Linked DNA regions of Lonchura striata. Each later gene encodes a partner of the first gene's protein in a complex. Links are inferred from orthologs where the notes say so. Each region holds a gene or a part of one and is shown on either strand. Other genes may lie near its edges.

Evidence for each region. The genes of interacting proteins can lie anywhere in the genome.
Region 2: the proteins of TGFB3 (region 1) and ITGB8 are in contact, whole or in part, in a cryo-EM structure (PDB 8VS6), measured with the Homo sapiens proteins. The link is inferred for Lonchura striata from reciprocal best matches to the Homo sapiens genes TGFB3 and ITGB8. Residues at the interface, in NP_001316868.1 of Homo sapiens: Gly262, Asp263, Leu264, Arg266, Leu267, Lys268; in NP_002205.1 of Homo sapiens: Ser156, Ala157, Ser158, Asn161, Arg206, Gln210, Cys211, Tyr214, Leu216, Ser247, Gly248, Asn249, Ile250, Asp251, Thr252, Glu254.
Region 3: the proteins of TGFB3 (region 1) and ITGB6 are in contact, whole or in part, in a crystal structure (PDB 4UM9), measured with the Homo sapiens proteins. The link is inferred for Lonchura striata from reciprocal best matches to the Homo sapiens genes TGFB3 and ITGB6. Residues at the interface, in NP_001316868.1 of Homo sapiens: His259, Gly262, Asp263, Leu264, Arg266, Leu267, Lys268; in NP_000879.2 of Homo sapiens: Ser142, Ala143, Ser144, Asp147, Pro196, Cys197, Ser199, Ile200, Tyr202, Cys204, Ala234, Asn235, Ile236, Asp237, Thr238, Glu240, Asp271, Lys355.

What each region holds. Positions count from the first base shown.
Region 1 is NC_134608.1:22,830,472-22,837,741, reverse strand, and holds the start of TGFB3 (transforming growth factor beta-3 proprotein), read right to left. Parts: upstream 3,017-7,270; coding exon 2,302-3,016; intron 1-2,301. UniProt on the Homo sapiens protein: Transforming growth factor beta-3 proprotein: Precursor of the Latency-associated peptide (LAP) and Transforming growth factor beta-3 (TGF-beta-3) chains, which constitute the regulatory and active subunit of TGF-beta-3, respectively.
Region 2 is NC_134603.1:126,141,069-126,148,007, forward strand, and holds the start of ITGB8 (integrin beta-8), read right to left. Parts: upstream 3,021-6,939; 5' UTR 3,016-3,020; coding exon 2,862-3,015; intron 1-2,861. UniProt on the Homo sapiens protein: Integrin alpha-V:beta-8 (ITGAV:ITGB8) is a receptor for fibronectin. It recognizes the sequence R-G-D in its ligands.
Region 3 is NC_134610.1:16,545,761-16,553,204, reverse strand, and holds the start of ITGB6 (integrin beta-6), read left to right. Parts: upstream 1-4,424; coding exon 4,425-4,485; intron 4,486-5,219; coding exon 5,220-5,299; intron 5,300-7,444. UniProt on the Homo sapiens protein: Integrin alpha-V:beta-6 (ITGAV:ITGB6) is a receptor for fibronectin and cytotactin. It recognizes the sequence R-G-D in its ligands. Internalization of integrin alpha-V/beta-6 via clathrin-mediated endocytosis promotes carcinoma cell invasion.

The DNA of each region.
Region 1 (7,270 bases):
GCCTTGTCTCTCAAGCTGCCTTGGAAAATGGCATCTGTTTTTCCTTCAGGAAGGTAAGCAAAGGACTTTTTTGCAGGACTGTTGCAGATGCTTCCCAAGCTTGAACATAACCAAGTGAGGTCTGATCCACATGAGTTTTATGAGATCCCTGACGTGAATGGTTGGTCAAAAGTAATTTATTCTCTGAAAAAAAAAACTTTTAATTCAGGCAATGTACCTGAGAGGCACAGGGAAAGAGACCATTCCATGAGTCACCAAGCAGCTCAGAAAAGGGATGGAGAACTTGGCTCTCCTGCCTGCTATTTTTGCTCCTCAGCTTTTCTCACTTTTGGGCTTTGCATCTTTGAAAAGTATGGGTTCTCTGAGCCAATATGACACTTGACTAATAGTCTGGAGCTAGAACAGTTTGTGTGAGTGCACACATTTCAGATTTGTCTGTGTCATCACTGCAGTTCCTTCAATGGAGTAGTCCTCCCCTGCCCCCCCTGCCCCCCCAGGAGACTGGCTTTGGCTCAGAACATGCTCTTAGATCACCACATGGCACAGTGACAGAGTCATGGGAAAGTTGAACAGCAGCCACTTCTGAAGATGTGGGGCCAAATTCAGCCATGGTGTAAGCAATGAAACTCCCCAGGTTTCAAAAAAAAAAAAAAAAAAAAAAAGAGTGTGTCTCTTGCCACCACAATATCTCTGGAGCTAGTCTCCCCTAGAGTGACCAAATTACAAAGTTCCCTCTTTCTCTGGGTGGTAGCATCTACACTACCCACTCCCAGAAATTTAGTCTCAGCACTACTTGGTCTTTTGAACCCACTGTCCCAGTGTCCTATGGGGACATGGAACAGGATCATTAATTTCCTCAGGAATTTTCCCAAAGCCACAATCTCTACTCATCACTCCTTTTCATGCACTATTTCTTCATTCCACTTTCCTCTCAATTTTAGCCAAATCCACACCCCTAACTTTATTTGCCACTGTTGTGCTTTACGTTTTCCCCACTTCCTTCCCCCCCAAAAATGCTAGTGTATAGTGTGGCTGTACTATTTTGCAGACACATGTTTTTCCCATATGTTTATAGTTTCACAAGTGACATTTCAGTAGGTCAAAAATGCTGAAATACAGGTAACCTTTGCACTTTCTGTTCCTTGAATCTTGGGTGTCTCCTGAGCTAAGAGCTAATCATATAACCATATGGAATGCAGTCTGCTAGAGATTAAGTAAAATTTGTTACATTACCACATTGTAGCTTATTCCATCTCATCATATGTCAAGATTAACATAAACCTGGCAGAATTAACTGCATTCTGAGACTGCCTCCACCAAGTCACAGCTCCTCCCCAAAACTCCTTGTCCCCAGGATGGCACAACTTCACAGGAGAACACCCTGGATAGTGGTATGACTACATCTTCCAATTCTAAGAATCCTAAACAAGCCAAAATGACTGCTTGTGCCTACATGTGCTCAGCATCTGCAATCTGCTTTGAGTTCATGTCTGCTCAGTCTCTGTCTTTTTGTCTGCTCAGCTTCTGCACCTGAATCTGTTTAGTGTCCACATCTGGGCCTGCTCATCATCTGCTCCACACCTGCTCAACATCTGTCATGTTTCCTCAATGCCTGTGTTCCCTTGGGGGGTCCCTTTGGCATCACTGCTTTACACCTGCTCAGTATCCTTGTCTTCTCCTCACTCTCTGAACGCTCACACTATCTGAGTAACACCTTCATCAGTGTCCGCCAAGCAGCAGTCACTTTAGCAAGTATCTCTCCACCTTCTCTCCTGCCGCGCGGGTGCTGCACGGACCGGACAGTAGCCTGCATTTCTGCGGCAGGCGCTGGAGCTTCAGCAAGGAGGAGGCCGTCGACCTGCTGTCACCCAAACACCAGACCTGCGCCGTCTCCCACCCCGTGCGCAGCATTCAGCCCGCCACCCGCAGGGCTTCTCCTCCCCTCCCTGTCCTGATGTCAAGGCTCTAGGCACGGGCTCTCCGCTGCCGGCCGGGGCCTGGGTCGATGCCGCTCCCGGACCCCGCCACCCACCGTCCCCACTGCCGGCCAAGCGCCGCGCCGTCCCGCCGCCGTCCCGAGCGCCCCCCGCCCCGCGGCTCCCGCTCACCTCCGTACCCGAGCGCAGCCGGGAGGAGACTCGCCCCCCGCCCGCCTCCGCCCCGCCGGGGAAGCGGCCCCTTCCGCGGGGGCCCGGCGCCCCTCGGCCCCAGCCGGCTGTCCCGCCCCCGCGCCCGGGATCCCGGGCAGCCTGCCCCGCGGGCGCGGCAGCTCGACCGGCACGGTGGGAGCCCCGCACTTACTGTGCTCAGGGAGGCCCTGGATCATGTCAAATTTATGAATCTCTTTGGCATAGTATTCGGACTCGGTGTTGTCCTGAGAGCAGCTCTCTTCCTTCTCCTCCTCCATCTCCTCCAGCAGCTCCCGAGTGCTGTTATAGAGGGCCAGGATCTGGTAGGGCACATGGGCCGGCCCCACGGTCTCCGGCGGGCTGGTGAGCCGCAGCTTGCTCAGGATCTGCCCTCGGATGGCCTCTACCCTCTTCTTCTTGATGTGATCCAGGTCCAAGGTGGTGCAGGACGACAGCGAGAGGCTCACGGTAGCGAAGCTCAGCAGGGAGAGCAGTACCAGCGCCCTTTGCACGTACATCTTCATGTGTGAGGGGGCGGCGGCGGGGGCCTCCGGGAGAGACCCCCGAGCGGCGGCGAGAGGGCGCGGGGGACCGGGCGGTTTGCTGGCGGCAGCCTCCTCAGAACCCGCAGGATGAGGCTTGGCGAGGAGGTGCATGAACTCACTGCGCCGTGCGCGACTCAGGACTTCCAGGAAGAGCTGGCAGCGCTCCGCAAGGAGAAGCGGCAAGCGCCGTGCCTCGCCGCGCCGCGCTCCTTCCCCATGCGCCGCCCCGCGCCCCGCGGAGCAGGGGGCGCCCCGCCGCGCCGCGCCGCCGCACGTGTCAGCGGCCCGCGCCGCCCCGCCGCCGCGGGGGGAGCGCCGCGCCCGCCCCTCTCGCTGCACCATTCATGCCCCCGCCGGGCCCCGCGCCCTACATCGCCCGGTGCCCGGCCGTCGGCGCCCGGGAGCGCGGCACCGCGGCGCTTCTCGCCCAGCCGGGAGCGCTGCCACCGGGCCGTCCGCTGCGCCCGTGGGTTCCGTTGACCGCCGTGCCCTGGTCCGTACACCGACACCGCTCCGCACCGGCCCGCCCGCGCACACTGCCGCTCCCCCGGCCCCGACGCTGAAATTTTATACCTCCCTCCCATGACGTCCCCGGGACGGGGCTCGGGCGGGGGAGGGAGCTCCAAGCCCGGCCTTCGGCTGCGCCAGCCCCGCGCTAATGGCTCCAGCAGCCGCACAGCCCCCACCGCTCCCCCCCTCCGCAGCCCCCGCCGCCCCCCGCGCCCGCCCGGGGCCGCCTCGCCCCGCGCAGCCCGGGCCCCTCGGCGCGGGGCGGCCCCGCGCGCCCTCCGACGTGGCCGCCGCACCGCCCCGCCGGCGGCGCGCGGGCGCCCCCTGCTGGCGGCACTCGCGCGGCGGCGGGCGGGCCCTTCGCGGTGGTCCGGGCGGCGCGGGGAGGCCCCTCCCGCTTCCAGCTGCGAAATCGCATTAAAAGCCGCTAAAAATACCCCGAATACTTTCCTGATGTGGTTTCTTTCCGAGGGAGGGAGGGGCCGAGCGGCGGGGTTCGGCCGCCGCGCTGCGGGCGGGGGGCTGCGGCGGGACCCGCGGGCCGATGCACGGCGGCGGCAGGGTCAGGGCGATGCGCCTCGGCACCGAAGACAGGTGGCACCCGGAGCTCCGGGGTGCCCGGTCACGGCAGCCCTCGCTGCGGTGAAGGGGCTGCGTCGGGCATCCGCTGCCCTCGGAGGGGGCCACAGGCGGGAGACAAAGCACCGGCCGGGGATGGGGCTGTAATTCATAACCCGGGCCTAGCAGGGTGTCTCTCCCGGCCGTGCTCTCACTGCGGCCACTCGCAACACCGGCCTCCCGCCTCCGTGCCGCGGGCCGGGCCCGTGCCTGCTGCCCCGGAGACCCGAGAAGGGCTCCCGGTCCGTGGAGCGAGCGAGAGCTTTTCTCTTGGCGTCACCTGGACCCTGTCCCCAGCACGCAGTCCTTCTCCCCGAGCCAGCGGCTTTGTGCCTTCCCAACCCATGGCAGCCGCTCGCAGCCCTGGCAGCGCTGCCGAAGGAGCCAGCCAGCCCGCTGGGCTGGCGGTGCGTTCGAAAAGTGGGGCAGGGACAGCTCCTGCCATGCTGCGGGCAGAGTGGCATGTGGAAGCAAGTCCTGGATCTTTATGCTCTGGGAGAGGTGGGGCTCCGGGGCATGTGGCCCCTTGGAGCGGTGGTGTCCAGCAACAGCAGGCAGCAGTGCAGCTGGAAGCATCTGGAAACCCCGGCACGGCTGAAGGGAGCCTTCTCTTACCTGCATGTTCGGGGGCCTTCGGCTGGGAGAGCGCTGCGAGCTCACAGCACAGTGACTCACCCAAGACAGGGAGTGTGGAACAGGTTGATGGGAAATCCATGGGGCAGCTGGGGGTGCTGGATTCACTGTGAGCCATTTTGTGCAGCTCTGAGGAGATGTAAGGGTGAGCTGCTCTCTGTTTGCTTGTGCTTTGCTTGGGGAAGAGGAATTAAGAATTCTCTGGTGGGGTGACAAAATGTAACAAGATCTAGTAGCATCCAAGATGATGTCAGTCAAATTTTAACTTGAAGTTAGATGCAAATTCTGACTGTTGACATTAAGTATCCATGGGATATTATTATGTAGGTTGGGATGGATGTTTCTAGAGCTCCCCAGGTACTTCTGAAATGAATTTTGGATGCTTTTCCATACTGGGATATCCTTTACCTTGCTGCCAGGTTGGAGGTCACACTAAATGCAGTCAAACTGATTGCTTTGGACTCCAGTAATCCATTTGCTACAGTGCCGCATAGTGGCATAGTGACTTATTAGTTAAGATGGAGATAAGTACAGAAATTATAAGAAATTACGAGAGTTTCCCAGAGGCTGGTCTTGGGCCCAGGTTTTATTAATGATCTTGGCACGCCAAAATGGATGTGCTAATGAAATTGGCTGCTTATCCAAAACTGGAGGCATTGTCGGTATAGGGGAGGACTGGGATATCCTATAGGAGGGGGTAGGCAATTTTGAAGGCTAATACAGGAGAAATGGGATGAAATACAATAGTAAAAAATGCAAGGTTATGTTGCTAATGGCTGAGATCAGACTTTTCTTTTACAAGCTGACAGTGTGAACTTAGTGCTTGGAAATAATAGTGGAGAAGGATGTAGGGGTCCCTGCTGGTTCCAGTATTGGACCACTCACTTTCTGTTCCAAGTGTTGCTCTGTGGGTTGAAAAGAGGTGGGGAAGCCCCGTGATCTGACATGCACTGGAAGCAATGCTGGAGGCTGTGAGCAACAGTCATTAACAGGTTGCACATCTTTTACATGCTGGAATCCAGCTAGGCTGAGGGAGAGCCTGACAGGGCTACTGAACATGTATCATAGGAAATATTTCACACTTGGCAACTCTGGCTGGGGTTTGACAGTCTGAGCTGGGGCTGACGTAACACAAATAGCATCTGTTCTCATGGCAATCAAGACAGGCAAATGTGTGGACCTTTGCTGCCTGTCAAAGCCCCTTCCACCTTCCAGAGAGAGGGATATCTTGTTTGAAACTTTGCAATTGTCAGGGGATTTTGTTCTGGAGCCTACAGAAATAAAAATATTTGCAGTTTTTTCCCTCCTCCAAAACCCCTTAGAGATGGGAAGGTGCATGGAGGAAAAAAAAACCTGCAGAAAAATTAAACTGAGATGCTTGGAGCTGCCAGCGTGGAGCAGGATATAGCAACAATCTTTGCTGAATGCTTCACTTCCCAGTGGAAGATTAATATTTTAATGAATTGGCCCATATCAAAATTGGGAGTCTGGCTGCCTGCCTGATGTGAAGATTCGGCGAGGAAGAAAGCACCCTGCTGTGTCACTTGTTGGTACTGGAATTGCCCTGTATCCCATAAATCCTACTACTGTCAAAGACCTGCTTCAGAAAACCTTTGGGCACTCTGAATAAGGTGGTCATTGTGCAACCACGTGGGCTTTCCACCATAGCTATAGCTTTAACTACATGTGTGTGCCCTTGCTTTAAAGGGGGTCTAGGATCAGAAGCATATGGGAGGCTCAAGTGTGATTGCCTTCCCAGAATTTCTCATGGATAGGAGTACCAGACACAAGCTCTATTCATATGTCTGCCAGTCAAGGAGAAATCAACAGCACTAGTGGGGAACTCTGTCAGTCCTACTCTGTGTGATCAGGTTTGTGCTGGAACCAGATGGAGAGAGTCCACGCTTAGATGTGAGAACTTGTCCGTGAAAGGAATGCTTGCGGAGTTCTTACTTGTGTTCAGCTCAGAGGGGGTGGCAGCAGTGTGATTTACAGTGAGGGCAAAACCAAACAAGTAAGGCAGACTGAGAGCTGAGAATACACCTGAAACTGTACACTGGGAAAGAGAAACCCTGGCACCACAGACCTGAACTGGACAGGAAGCAAACACTGAAAATAGCTTTGGACAACCACAGCACACCAGACATTTGTTCTGCTACCTGGCTCCTTCTCAGTTGGTTAAGTGAACACAGTCTAGGTCCGGAGTCAAATGCTGCCTGTGGTGTCACCTGTAAGACAGAGGAGAATTAAACTGTTCAGAAAATGTAATCCAAACACTTAAGGCAGGCAAAATCCACTTTGGCCACAACATGAAATGATGAATGAAAACTCTTTTCCTCCTGTTGCCCTTCCCAAGCAGGCAAAACTTTGAGGGGTACGTGACAAACCCTATTCCAATAAGTGGAATCCAGAGGGATTAGAGGTAGAACAGATTTTAGGTTTCATTCTTTCTGCACATCTGCTCTTCCCTCTCCTTGAGAATCTCTGAAGTCCGGAGTCAAAATTCTGAGGCAAAGCTCAGTTGCCCAAGTCTTTACATGTTTTCTTTCCTGCACATGGACTTCACCCTCCCTCAACTGGCCTGAGACTTCTCTCCCTGGGGTAGGCAGCAAGCAGCACAGAGTGTGTCTTGGGGGAAAATGGGAAGTACAGGTGTACTGTCTGGGATGGAGACCCAGGGGAATTGTGAGGAGAAGCTTGGAGGGGAGGGCAGTTCCAAACAAGTGAATGCACTGGTCATGCTGCTTCATGATCTGTCTGTCCAGGATGGCACCCCTCTACCCTGGCTCTGGGAGGATGACCCTGCCAGCTGGCTGTGTGGGAGCATGTGGGAAG
Region 2 (6,939 bases), on another chromosome or scaffold:
TTTACAGCCCTCTCAAACACCCAGGTTGTTTTACCCCAAAGGTTCCAAAAAGGTTGGCTTTCCCAAAGATGGTCCATTAGCCCGAGGGTGCAGATCGCCCACGCAGACTCAGGAAATGAAAACTGGATTTTCTCTTTTCCTTGGATTGTTTTAAGCCTCAGGAAAAGCTCAATTGACTCAGTGCTGGGTATCCCATACAGCTCAGCTTCTTCCACTGAGTCTCAATAGAAAATGCACTGCATGGGTGCGCAAGAGAATTAACAGATAAACACCAATTAAAGCTATCATGATGTATCTTTTATTTCAGACTTTTTTGTGTGTTTGTGTGTGTATCATGGCATATTTCCCATCACTTCTCTTCAAAATCTTCCATGGGTGGTTTGAATAGCTTTCCTTATTCCTTTGAGAAGTAGCATGAGTAATGGTTTATAAAACTTTCTTACTAGAGGGATCACATGGAAATCTGATGTGACAAGACTGGTGAAGCACCAAAGACCTTGATGGGAGAAAATTAATGAATCAAAAGTCATGCTATTGGCACAAATCAATTAACAACTGACCCCTTCATGATGATTCTCCAGTGGTCTTTCCAAATGACACTCTCAAGAAGACTGAAAATACTTTTAAAGCTGGTATTTAAAGAGACCTGTCAATCACAACTATTTAAAAGAATTGCTGTGTGACTGTTCTCCAACTTTTGTTCAGAGATAAAGATTTTCATTCCATCTCATCCCTGTTTGCACACCTCAAGTACATTCTGTTTACCTGAGCTTCATAGAGGAATTACTCCCTGGGTATTTTGGAAAGCACCAAATACCTTAGTTTTCTGATTTTAATATTATAACTGGTCTTGGGACACTGCAGAGATCTTAATCAATGTCCTATGTTAAGCCTGACCAATCAGTCATTCTTCAGTACTTAAGCCCCATATAACCCATGTGCTGATACAGCAGGTAAAAAATAAGAGTTTCAGCAGTTGGTTTCTGAACAGGGCAAGAGAATTGTCTTCACTGAAGTGAGCACTTACTCAATTGGTTAGTGCAATGCATACACATGCTCTTGCTGTAGAATCCAGCTTTTATTCAGTTCACTGGTTTACATCTTTAGGAGTTTGTCAGCTTTAATGTTCAAACATAAATGCAGGGATCTGTAGAAATCCCTACAGAACTAGCTTGAATCTTATGTCAGGTATTTGTTATAATTGGCTTACTGAACTGCAAATTTCCTTTTGGTGAGACTTATTGAACAAGGGACCCTTTGTAGAAGGCAGCAACACTACTCTTTTTATTTGAGCTTACAGAACCCATAATTTGGGAATTACAAATTTACATCATTGTGAGATTTCCTTTTGCGCTCCTTGTAACTTCAAACCCTATGCCAAATTCTACCTTTACTTATCCCCAAGCAATGACTCACATCTCAAACTGCAGCTTGAAGAACAAATATCTCAGGTAGTATCAAGCTCTTAATGTTTCAATTAGAAGAGCCATAAATGCTCCAACAAGAATTAAATAAATTTGAATTCTATGTACAGTTCATATTAATTCCAGTCTCTTTCAGAACTGGAGATTCAGTTCAACAGATATGCAGGTTCTGCCAACTCTGCACATAAATAAATTGGACTTGATGATGGCACAGGAACAGCAAGATGCTTTTCTCCATGCCCAGCACTGTCAATGCAGAAGCAAAGAGGAATGGCTGTGTGAACAAAACCATGCTGCCAAATATCTGTACATGGAGCTGCTGCCCACTGTCTCTCAAAGCAGCCTGCAGACATTCAAAGAATCCAGGTGGTGTTGCACTGGCTATCACAACTAAATGTAAAAATCACTAACAATATTAATAATAACAAAAAATTTCATGTGTTCATTCACAGAAAAACAAAGCAAAACATTCTTCTTGATTCAACTGCGGCTGTAGCCTGCAAAGTGATTATGTATGAAGGAAAGAATTCAGTGTTCTTTTCAGCTTTCATGAATTAGCAGAGGTTTCAAATGAAAAGGAAAAAACAAGGTCTATGTGAGTTACAGTCTGCCCAATCTGAGAGCTGTTGTCACAATAAACACATAACCCATGACGTATTGCCCATATATATTTTCACTATGAAGCACAACAAAGACAGCAAGCATCCTTTGGCACAAAAGCTCCATGCACAACCTCCCCCCTGTGGCATTCTGTTCTGTTGCATTACTTGCAGTAGTGTGTACCCAGGAACTACACTCATAAGCAAGCACAACACTACATTCAGGCACAGAACCATCCTTTTCATAAAGTTTCAATTAGCATTTCAACTCAATTGCACTGTATAAAAAAAATCTGGGATACCACATACAAGATGTCATGGTTCATAAGAAATTTAATAATATATTTTATTTTTCCTATTGACATTACTTTGGTTCTGAATTCAAAGTACGAAGCCAAAAAAGTAAAATAAATTATCCTATGAAAGTTAACAAATTATTCCATTGTTTTTAATAGTGCTGGGCAAATCCTACTGAATTAGGCATGAATTTGTCTCCTTTGCAATAAAGAATCTAAGACTAATACATTGTTCCCATTGTAAATCTCAGTTTCAGAGGTTACATGTTAACATTTTAAATCAGCTCCAGGCTTAAACTGGGAAATGCCAATTATTCCACAAGCATAAGAAAATACAGAAAGATGACTGACAACCAGATCTGCTTTTATGATCACTGCTAGCTAAATAAGATCCTTTATGAATTGACTAACCTGCTTGCTCTGTCAACTGCTGCACCATCTAAGGTACATTTGCACAAGCTCCCCTCAGCCAGCACACATTAAAAATGATACTGGGGGCCTTGGGAAGCAATTCCACAACGTGAGGAGTTACCCACATTTACCTGAGTCTTTTTCACCCGAGAACCATAGCTCCCAGGGAACTGCCAACATGCACGTTATCCCGAGGTAAACAGAAGACAATCTTCTCGTAGCTCTATCCCTATTTAACCCTGCCACTGCGTGCCACATGAACGACGTAAAACAGAGTGTTACCATCCCCAAGAACCGGTCATCCCTGGCTGGGGTCCGCGTGCCGCTCCACGGAGTGTTGCGGAGGGTGCACTTCAGGACCCGCAGCACCCTGGAGTGCGACAGTCCCGCCGGCTCCCCATGGCTCCCTAAAGGCGGGACGCCCCCGGCGTGGGCAGTGAAATCACGGGCTGGCCCTGGCGGTGTGAGGCTTGGACACCGCTCCAGCCCGGCTCTCCCTGCAGGTACCGTGCGCCCGCCAGCTCGGCCCGCCCGGCCGACGAGTGCCGGTGGCGCCGGCCGGTCCCGCTGTCAGCGCTGCGCCCCAGGGCAGCGGCCGGGCCCGGGCAAGCCCCCCGCCCTCGCACGACCCCGCGCCAGAACCAAACCCGGCCACAGCCCCCGCCAGCCGGGGCAGCAGTCCCAGGCGCTCGGACACTTACAGCGCTGGCAGAGTCCCGGCACGGCCGCCAGCAGCCAGGCCGCCCCGAGGAAGGCTCCGGGGCCGCGCTGGCACCTGGGCACGGAGACGATCCCCGCGGTGAGGCACGCCAGCAGCGGCACCCACATCATGCGCCGCGGCCGGCACCGCTCCCGCTCCCTCGCCCTCTTCTCGGGGCCGTGTCTCGGCGCCGCGGCGCGCTCAGTCCCGGCCCCCGCGGGGGCGGCGGCGGCGGCGGGGCCGGGGGAGGGGCGGCGGCGGGCCCGGCACAGGTAGGGCGCTCGGAGGGGCGGGCGGGGGCCGCCGCATCTCGGGGGCAGCGCCTGCCGCGCCTCCGCGCCCCGCCAGGACCGGCCCCCCCCCGGCGGCAGAGGGGCCCCGGCTAAGCGCGGAGCTTGGTTCCCTCCATTCGCTTCCAGCCCGGCGGCCAGGGGCGCGTCGCCGCCCGCCCTGCCTGGGGGGTGCGGGGAGGCTCCTGGCACCGCGCGGGGAGCGGCGGCGGCGGCGGCAGCTCCGCACCTCCCTCGGGCGAAGAGGGCGGCTGCCGGGGGGCGGGGACGGCCGCCCCCTGCCCGCCCCCGCCGGGGGCAGGTGGGCGCTGCCCGCCGCCGTCCCGAGGCGCCGCCGGGGCCGCCTCTCGGCGCCGGGGGTACGGGGTCTGCTGAGGACGGCGAGGGGACGGCAGGAGACCGCGGCCGGCGGCGCTGCCCGGCCCCAGCGCGGAGAGTGCGGGTCCCCGCAGGTTGCCAGGAGACGGCAGCGGGGCAGGTTCCGCGAGCGGGAGTGCGGGGGCGGGCCCGGCGGTGAAGTCACTGTGGCCGCCCGCGCCTTTGTTCGCCGGCGGCTTCGGTCGCGGCCGCCCGAGCTCGGCACGGCCGCTGCCCCCGGCCGCGGAGGCGGACGAAGGCCGCGGGCAGAGCGCTGCGCCGCCGGCCCCCGCCGCACCTCGCCCGCCGCTTTGGCCCTGCGGCGGCCGCTCCGCCCCGCCCCGCCGGCTGGGCCGGCCCTCGCTGCGTGTGACCCCGCCGCCGCTCGCTTGTGCGACCCTCGCCGGCAGCGCCTCCCTAACCCGGGCGCTGCCCACCGGCCCGGGAACGCCGCCGCTTTCCCGGGGCGTCCCGCTTGCAGGAGCGCGCCGGCCCCTGGTGCGGGCCGGCAAATCTTCGCTACCTAAAACCACCTCTCCTCCTTTACCGCCCTCCCCGAATCGTTTCTCCCCGGAGTTTCCACCCCTCCGGGCGCAGTGGGTGTAACGCAAAGGTTAACCGTGTCCGGAAAGTACCGCGCCGTGCGGGCCAGGAAAGCCCCACCGGGCCAAGGTGCGACCTCGGCCGCCGCCTCGCCCGGCCCCGCTCCGCTCCACGGAGGAGCTCCCTGCAGCTCCCGTCCCTGTGCTCCCCGCGGAGCCTGTGGGTGGAGGCGTTTTCCCGGCAGGTAAAACCCACCTGGGCACCTCGCCCTGTCACACGACGGTGGCCGGGCCTCCGCCCGGCTGCGTTACGGGGTAGGTGTGCCGACCTCGGGTCCCTGGTGGCCAGCCGTGTGGCATCCTTCCTTTCTGATACCGACAACAGATGACTGCGCGCAGGATCCTAGGCGGATCTCTGTGCTGCATCCAAGCCTGTCTGTGCAGGGTACGTTTATAAATCCTGCAAATGCAACCAGTGTAAATAATGTACTGTTTCACTGTCTACGAATGAAGGGCTGCGGAAGCCTTTTCAGATCCCTTGCTAAGCCTTGAGAAGTTATGGATGATTTAGCATCTGAATGTCAGAGGTCAGAAGCTGAGCACGGTGAGTTTGTTCAAGAGTGCTGAGGAAGGGCTGGCAATGAAGCAATCTCGTGGTCCCACTCTGGAGTTTTTAAATGATGTATCATCTTTTTTGCTTCATTTTGGAAAAATCCCCCATTTCAGACATCTGACTGTCATTCCTTGAGTGGTCATAGCCCAAATGGGGATATGGGATGTGAGAAAGCCGTATGCAATGACATTCAGAAAGAAGTGTAGTATCTGCAGGATTTCAAATATTGTGGCATTCTTAACCTAAAAGCTCTATGATTTCAGAGATCACAATCTCAAACACTGTAGGTGGATAGCTACAGGTCCCTTGAGAACTCATTGGGTACTATTTGAAATAAGATAGACTGGTGACGAGTGAACTAAACTCAATTTACTCCTGTTGGGTCTTGTAATGTTTATAGATCATGATGCTGCAAATTTATGGTGATTCAAATCTATCTGGAAAAAAAGAATTCAGATGATACATCAAGAAATTCAAGGAAATAGCTTTAAACAAATTGCCAGCAGAAGCAAAAGTGACAGAAACTGGGATCTCCCTATTTTGGATTTTTCACCTGCATGGTCTAAATGGTGCTAATGGGAAGAACAATACAGTTGATATCCCATACAGATATATTGTGTATGACACTATTAGACAGAATATAAATTATCATAAGCAGTGTAAAGAAAATGGCTATGTCCTCAACAGCATGAATTATCTTCTGAATTTCTAAGCAAAGGCTGTTCATCATACAGGTAGGAATCAGTCATTCCATGCATTATTTCTGCTGAGAACATAATGCAAGAATTTGGTATTCTGGGCAGAAAGACAATACCTGCAGTTTAATGTGGAAGAATAAAAATGGATAATTTTCATATAAAATCTGATAATAGGGTTACCAAAATGAAACCACTCTGGTCATTAACTTAAACCCTGAAAACATAATGAAAAGGATGCCATTGTTGGGTGAGAACTATGAACCCTGAATAAAGTCACCAATAAAAAGTCCAGAACTGAAGATATAAATGGTTTAGGCCTCAATGTATAGAGGCTGCTGTAGGAGTTTAAAGTATAGTCTGCTGGTTTATGTAAAATGCCATATTTCTTTAGCTTCATTCGTCCCATGGTGGAATCCAAGGACTTAAAAACATTTACTTTGCAGTGATAGCATCTTTGAATATATTGTTATTTAGACAGTGTTTATAATGCGATAATACAATTAGGCAGGAGTTTTGAATAATAATTCTAGGCTTGCAGAGAAACTGAATCATCCAAGGTCACATATGAGAGTAAGTAACTCTTAAACTCCCATAACAAGTAATTTAACACCACTAGAAATGGATTTAAAGTCTCAATCCATTGTCCTATCCACAGGGCAGTGAAACCTTGAAGCAATGTGTTTGTGGCATCTCTGTCCTTGGAGAGAGTTAAAACTTAGCTGAACATGTTCCTAAGCAGACTGAACTAACTGAACCTGTTTTGAGCAGAGGGATGGTTGGGCCTCAGGGGACTTTTTCCAGCATAAGTTATTCCACAAATTTTTGTGGTGGAAAGTGTGTTATTATATTACATGTATCCCAAATTTCTTGAAGTGTTATAACTGTGGCTTCCTACCAGTATTTTACATTTGCTTTATTGAAACAAAATGCAATTGTCTGTCACATTGTTGGTGCATAGTCTCTTTTTTCAGGAAACAGCTTTTTCAGGAAAATATTGCATCTGCAATGA
Region 3 (7,444 bases), on another chromosome or scaffold:
GTGATTCTCCATCTCCTGTGACCCTCCAGAAGAGGCTAAAAACACCCCCACTCTTCTTCCAAAACTGCACTCCATCGTGTGTAGCCATGCTGGCAAACAGCACCTGGAGGTTAGGAGAGACCAAATCTCCCTGGGCTCTGTGGCAGTGTTTTGGTCATAGGCCCCTAATGGAATATGGTATTAGCACACCCCAAAACACAGGAGCTGGAATGAACCAGCTCCATCACAGTATGTTCAGAACTTTCCTTTCAGCAAGCTCCAGGTCACCCATAGAGGACTCAAAAGCTTACAGCAGTTTCTTTGAATGTATGTAATTTTCTGTTGGAGCAATACCCATGTCCCACCATGATGATTAATAAAGAAAGAGAGAGCAGATGTATCAACTGAAAAAAAAAAAAAAAAAGGCAGCAAAATAATTAAAGAAGCAAAAGTTTCAGATTTTGCTGATTTGTTACTTTCACCTTCACTGTGAATTTCCCCATTAAATACAACTGTTTGTTAGGGATTGTTGCTTCCTCTTGAAATGTTTTTGCCAGCTCTCCCTAAAGCATTGTCAGATCTGTACTGCAGCAGAGACAGAGACAAGACAGTCCTTGCAGTGTCTGTGCAGTATTTGTGTGTGGTTTCTGTCTGTGCTGGACTGACCTGTGTGCAGAACTCTCACACCACTGTGTGGATATTCACATCATCTCTAGCTCCCTAAAGATGAACCAAAATTTCAAGCTTAGAGACTTTTTTCAGCCTTCATTGTTCAGCTAACTCACAGGCATCCTCTGAAACATTTGCCATTGCTGTACTTTGGAACTGGGTCTTATCAGACTGCTGGGGCATATATTTCTGTGCAGATTTTCCAAGGAAAAATGCTTTCCACTTCTGCTGGCCCAAGAGTATGGAAGCACTTGACTATGCAGCTATGGAACATTTGTCTTCTTTGTGAGAGAAGTGTTTTAATCCGTAGACTTTTGTAGAATCTTCACTTACTTCCTTTCAGGTTAAAAAGTTTGACTGAAGTATTAAAGTCTACTTTCATTCCCTGCTAGAGATCGTCAGGAGCTTTGAGGATTTGACTGGGAAGTCAACCAGACAGAGAATAAAGTCACCAGATGATTCAAGTACAAAGCAACATGCCTCTGGCCTAAGGAGTGCAGCCCTTTGCCTCTTCCAGATGCAGTGAGGAGTAGGAATAGGGTGGAGAGAAGGGAGACTCTGCCTCACAAACTTGAGAAAGCTTTTCTCAAGCACAAGAAGTGTCTCCCTGCACCTTTGTAAATATTGAGAATCATCTCAGCTGGGGGACACTCAGACTTTAAATGGTTCCATATTTTTCCAGGCTTTCAGGATGTGTATAACTAGATTGCTGGGAATCAAGAGCTGGCTTATGTGTGAAGCTGAGAGGTCAGGGCTATATTTGTGCCCGGAATGGAGGGAAGACTTGCATTGTTCAGCACTGCCTACACTGAATGATAAACTGTTTTCTTTTCTGATGTGTCATTTAAAAACTCTAACTCTGATTTAATAGAGACCAGAATTTCCTCCAAAATAATATAGTGGCTGACGGAAACAATCATAATTGTGTTCTTTCTCTACTGTAAACTTCCTTTTTGTTCTATCTCATAGAATCAATGCTTTTAATTTGGGTGGGTGATGCGAGACTGTATTAAAAACCTTATGAAGAATGGGAACCCTGTTGCCAAATCAAGTAATACCATGACCCCAGAGCATTTTATACATCCTTCCCACATCAGCATGGCTACTCCAGATTGAGATTCTACTCTTCTAGTGATGATTAAAGCAAATAAAGCATTTATCTAGTAGAGGAACTTCCTGGTCAACTTACCTTTAGTTTGCACAGGTGGTGTTTCAAAACAAGAATCATATGTCTGCTTCCTGTTTAGGTATTCTTACCTTGCCCAAGGTTTACTCTTGGTGCACACTGTCTCTCTTTCAGGACCTCTCTTAGGCTCCTGCTCTCAATTTTTTTTTCCTTGTCTGTTTCTGTTGTTGTTTATTCTCCTACTTTCTTTTCCTTCGCTGCTTTCTCCAGACAATCCACGGTGATCTAATAGATCTATTAATAATCTAATATATTCCTAATAATTTGCAGAAACTTAGCTATTTTATTCAGCAAAGGCTTAATTCAGATAGTCTGGCAGTCACCTCACTCAGAGGCAGGCACTTAGCTTCCGGCCATGCTATTCTTGCCAAGACCTATGCAAAATATTAACCTCACAAGCAAATGGAGAACTGATAATATCAAATAGAATTTGTAAGTTTTATATAGGATATATTACTAATTCTCTCTACACTTCAAAGTTTGATATCTTCAATCCAAGAATAAGCATTTGCTAATTGCCAGCTGTTCAGCTGACTGGTCCTTAGTTTGAGACCCTGCAGGTGTTGCTATCTTGTGGTGGCTGCAGCGCTGCCACCAAGCCCTGTGCTTTGAAGTGTTGCTGTTCCCAGGGGCCAGTAGCCCATCAGAGCTACAAGGTGACCTACACTGAAAGAGAAAGCACTGGGTTTTGGGGGTCTGCAAGGCTGTGGACATAGTAACAATCTTGAAGGACACATAGAGAAATGTCAGTCAGAGCCAGGGAAGTAGGATATTTGAGTAGCATATTACAGGGGGATGTTTCTCTTAGCAAGAGCAAACACTTTTGGTTTATTCCACTTCTTTTTGACCTTATGTAATTACATAGAGTGTTCTCATAGAGTTGTGTCTTCACCAACTGAGGGAACATAATCTAATCGATGTTTTTTTCATGCCACAGAAAATCACTGTAGCTGAGCAAGTGCCTTACAAAGGGCACTCTGAGGCATAGAGAGCAGTTGAAGGAGATTTAGGAATGTTGTAAATAGAAATGTTAAGATACGGTTTGGCAACAGCCTAAACTGGGCTAAATTTGGCCTAACAAATTCTCACCTTTCCTGTCAGTTCTGCCTTGAACTCTGGACTGGGCAGCCACAGGGTTTAAGGGACAAAACCAGATGAAAACCAGCCCTCCACCTTTCCCACAGAAGGTGATTGGGTTTGGTTGGATCAGTTTGAAACGCGGCGTGTTTGGGCATGAACGATGAGTAATAAAGAGGGTGGGAACACAAGGGCAGAGCAAAGGTAGTCCTGATGTAATCCAGGGTGAGTTGCTATTGAAATTACCCATAGTCTGTGTAAACACTAGTAAAATTGGATGTGCCTGGGAATATTTCCAAGCACTAGAATGAGATTGTCTGTGCTATTAGACTGTTAAAAAGCTCCCTGGCATGAATTTGACCTCTTCCAATCAATGCTCACTGCAAACAATTTCTGGGCACAATTTGGTTGCTAGAATTGGCCCAATAGGTACTTTGCAATCATAAACTCAGGTCTTTCTGTGCCAGTTGGCCCCAGTGCCCAGGAATGTTTTGGGCATGTTGAATTTAACTAATACAGACCCATCCCTACTTTGACTATTGCAAATCTTTATGAAAAGACAGGACTCGTCTTGAAAAAATGTTTTTTAAAACAGGCAATAACAGAGTATAAAAGATGGGAAGACATAAAATCTGGAAATAAGGAATTTTATTTTCTTTTAATAAGGTGGTAAGAAATACATATTTTGCCTTCATTTCAGGTTGGGAAGGTGGATGAGAGATAGCAATAACTTGTTATGCAATTGTTTCTGTGCTGTAGAATATTCAGCTGCTTATTAGGCAGAGTTAAGGCTACATGATTCTTTTTTCAAGTCAGTTGCTGTACTGGGAATAAAATTATTCCTCCTTCTATATATTAAAAGAATCTACAACTCCAGCATTTTCCTTTCCGTTTGGAATGTAAAAAAAAAAAAATCAATGTACTTGGTATCTTGCAGTACTGAAGCAAAGTCCTAAATTTTAATCTGCGATTAGTTTGGGTTTTTTCCCTTCACAGTTGCCTTTATGAGTTTCCCTCCACATCAGGAAATCTGAAAAAGTGGGATTTTTTTCTTCTCTCCAGGTATATACTCGGCAATCTTAATGATCCATTTTCCCTCGGGGCACAATTAAAGGTGTTCTTTTGAAGGAGCTTTAGAAGGGCTGTTGTACAGTGCAAACACGGTCTCTTGGCTGGGTTGCTCTAGGACCCAGAGTGACTGGGACTGACAGGAATCTTCACCTGAATGAATTTTCCCCGTATGCCTTATAAGGAGCCCAGGAAAACAAGGAAGTGATAACCATGTTCACGTTACTGTGTGCACAGCTTGTCCTCTCTACCTGCCCAGGTAGCCCTTGTTTTCACTTTTGTTCATGGTCCGTCCCGCTGGGTTGCAGCTTCCTCGCGATCCGGTGTACGTGACATCCCAAAACATACCCTTCGGGAATGCATGCTTTTTACGACATTCTACCTTCATGCAGACGATAATTAACAAGCTAATATTTTTTTGTCATGCAGCCAGCACTGAAAACGAATGGGGATTGAATTGCTTTGCCTCTGTTTCCTATTCCTGCTAAGAAATAACTATGTGCAAGGTAAGGCTCAGGGGCAGGGAGATCAATTTCAAAATCATTTTGCATTGTTTCTTGCTTGAAGTTGACACGAAATAGCTCTCTGCCTTCTGTATTTAATCTTTCTATTTAATGACCTTTTTTGGATAGACTGCTGTAGGGCTGCATTGCCAATTCATCTACAATTTGGTGGTCATTATATAGCGCAACAGGTTTGAAAGAGATAGACATTTGAGCAATTTCATTTTCACTAATCACAGTTTGATCTGTTAAGAATCTTTCATATTATACATATGGCTGAGTATTTCTCTGGTAGTTACACAATGGAGAAAAATCATATCAAGCATCTACGGAGCTGAGTGAAGCAATATTAAGCATAGAGAGTGAGCATAAATCTGTTCTTTTAATATCCCTGGTTATGTGGGAAATGACTTACCTACACCATACCAGAAATACATGTAACACTCTCTCAGGTGCACTGGAGGGAACAAGGTAACATGTTCTAAGTGAATGCCACCCATAAAGCATGCAAAAGGAGGTATGTTAATTGCCAGCAATTCTAAGGCTTTAATCTTTATTGTAGAGTTAATCTTTTACCAATAGAACTACTGTTAAGAAGAAATTTTATCAGTAATCCTAAATATGGCTATATATGTGTATTTTTCACCACCCACATTCTCTAGATGGCATGTTTCTTCATAAATTGAATGATTCAGCATATTATTAACAGTCTTTTATCTTCTTGGATTTAAATTCAGGGACCTGTTCTCAGGAAAGCACAGTGACTTGTGAAGATTGTTTGCTTTCCGGACCACACTGCGCTTGGTGTTTGCAAGAGGTAGAGTGATAAAAAAAAAAAATTCAAAGTAAGACTTAAGTCTTTGTAGTCACTCCAAGTGATGAAGTATTGACTTAATTGGGTCAGCCCAGGGTTTTGTAATGCATGCAGTGCTTAGTGAAGCCTTCTTGGGGAGCAGAAGTGGAATTTAATCTACTCTCCATGGTCTGTTATTCACAGTATGGTTGTTAGGATGATTGTTTATTTGTTTGTTTTCTTGTTTGAAAAAACCCACGAAAACATCAACCTTTCAAATCTAAGGCAGAAATAGAAATGTTATTAGGGGGTCTCAGGTCGTCAGCTCAAGGGCTGACTCACCCCCAGCACTGATGATGAAGCACCAGACACAAAGTCAGAGGCCAAACTGTATCTGACAGATTACATGCCAAGCCAGACAGTGCAAGCAGAAGGTTTGCAGGTATCAAGAGTATAAAAGTTTGCAGATGTAGAACTTCCATATAGAAATTATAAAACTGTGATTAATTTTAAGTATGACAATAATGTCGGATTTATAATTCATATGATATAGATATGTTTTGGCTAAAGCATTTAACTTAAAAAGTATATCTGGATTTGTTTCTTATGGCTTTGTTTCAGATTTTCAGTGCAACCCTGGGGAAGTGACTTCACATTTCTGCTTTTAAAACTTTCTTCTGTAAATGGTGCTAAATAAAATCTCCCCACTTCACAATAAATATTCTAGCTCTTAGTTCATCATCATTAACAAGATAGTCAGCTATTGCAACAGAAACTTGACAGAAATGCTAGAGAAATAAAGTATTTTTCATTTTTGTTTCTGGATTGCACCTTTGCTGCTAACAGCTTTTATTGTTTTTGTGTATAGCAAAATGACACAGTATGGGACTAAAACACTCTTTATGAAATAGCTCAGAAAGAAAAAACTGCATTTCATTTAAAAATTCTAAAAATATATATTTTGCAATTTGCAAAATATATTAACCATTGAGGTCAAAAAGACCCCACATTAGTGTGTTTGCAGTTGTTTTTATATCTGTACTATAAAACAGGATTTTGTTGAAATTGGATCCCATAATTTTGACTACTGCCATGTATTTTCAGAGAAAAAAGAGCCCAATATAATTTATTGATTCAAAAAAACCCAAAACCAAACCAAAAAAAAACCCTGTGGAACTATTGAAAAGTTCACTGTAGTAAACATGCTTTTTCTTCTTTGTTCATAAGCTCATTCATTTCTTTGTTAGAAAACAGCACATAAAGCATGCAAAAGGCATAGGAGCTTTAGTATCCAAGCATACAAAAGCACCTCTAAGGAAACCACTGTTTTCTGTAGGATAAGAACACACTTTGTAATTGTATTTGAAATATGAGGTTGTCTCTTCACACATTTTGAAAAGTTACAAACTGTGTAACTAAAGGAGACGATATGGATCTCCCTGTGAAAGGTTTATAATGGTACGTGTAATTTATGTGTGCTGTATTCAAGAAGCAGTGGGTGAGTTTTGCCTGAGCAAAGGCATCTGGTTCAGGCTGGAGAATAATAAACCACTGTTCCCAACAGGTGCCTCAACACTTCCACCAAAATATATAAGATGCCTGAAAATTTTCAGGCATGAAGGGTGATATTTTGGTGGGAAAAAAAGGGTCATAGGTCTGTTTTTAGTAGGTTTAAAGTAAATTTGTTTTGTTTTGCATGGAAAGTTTTTCAGCAACTGAATTCAGAGAATATTTGTGGCTTAATGGCTGATCCATGGGTTGCTTGCCCAGACCTAGGAGAAAAGAGCAGATGCATGGTATGGGCCCATGACTATCCACCAGAAATTTAATGTTTCAGATCTGATTCTGCCAGACATTGCCCAGGCTTTGGTCAAAAGGTCTTGCAGGCCAGAGCAGTTTCCAGGAGACAGCTGACTGATCTTGAGAATCTTGACTCTAGACAAAACTCTGGGAAATAAGGCACAGAAATAAGGTAATAAGGCACAGAAACCTCTTTGTAAAAGTAACCATTAACTTCAGCACCATGTGAGGTTAGTACCTACCCTGTAGCAGTGCTGTGGAAAGGAATGCATATCAATGCTTTGAACTGAGTAATGACAATAAACTTTGAGATATACAATTGATATTTATAGGCTTTTGATTTCCTCTGTCTGGTAGAAGGTCAAGGAA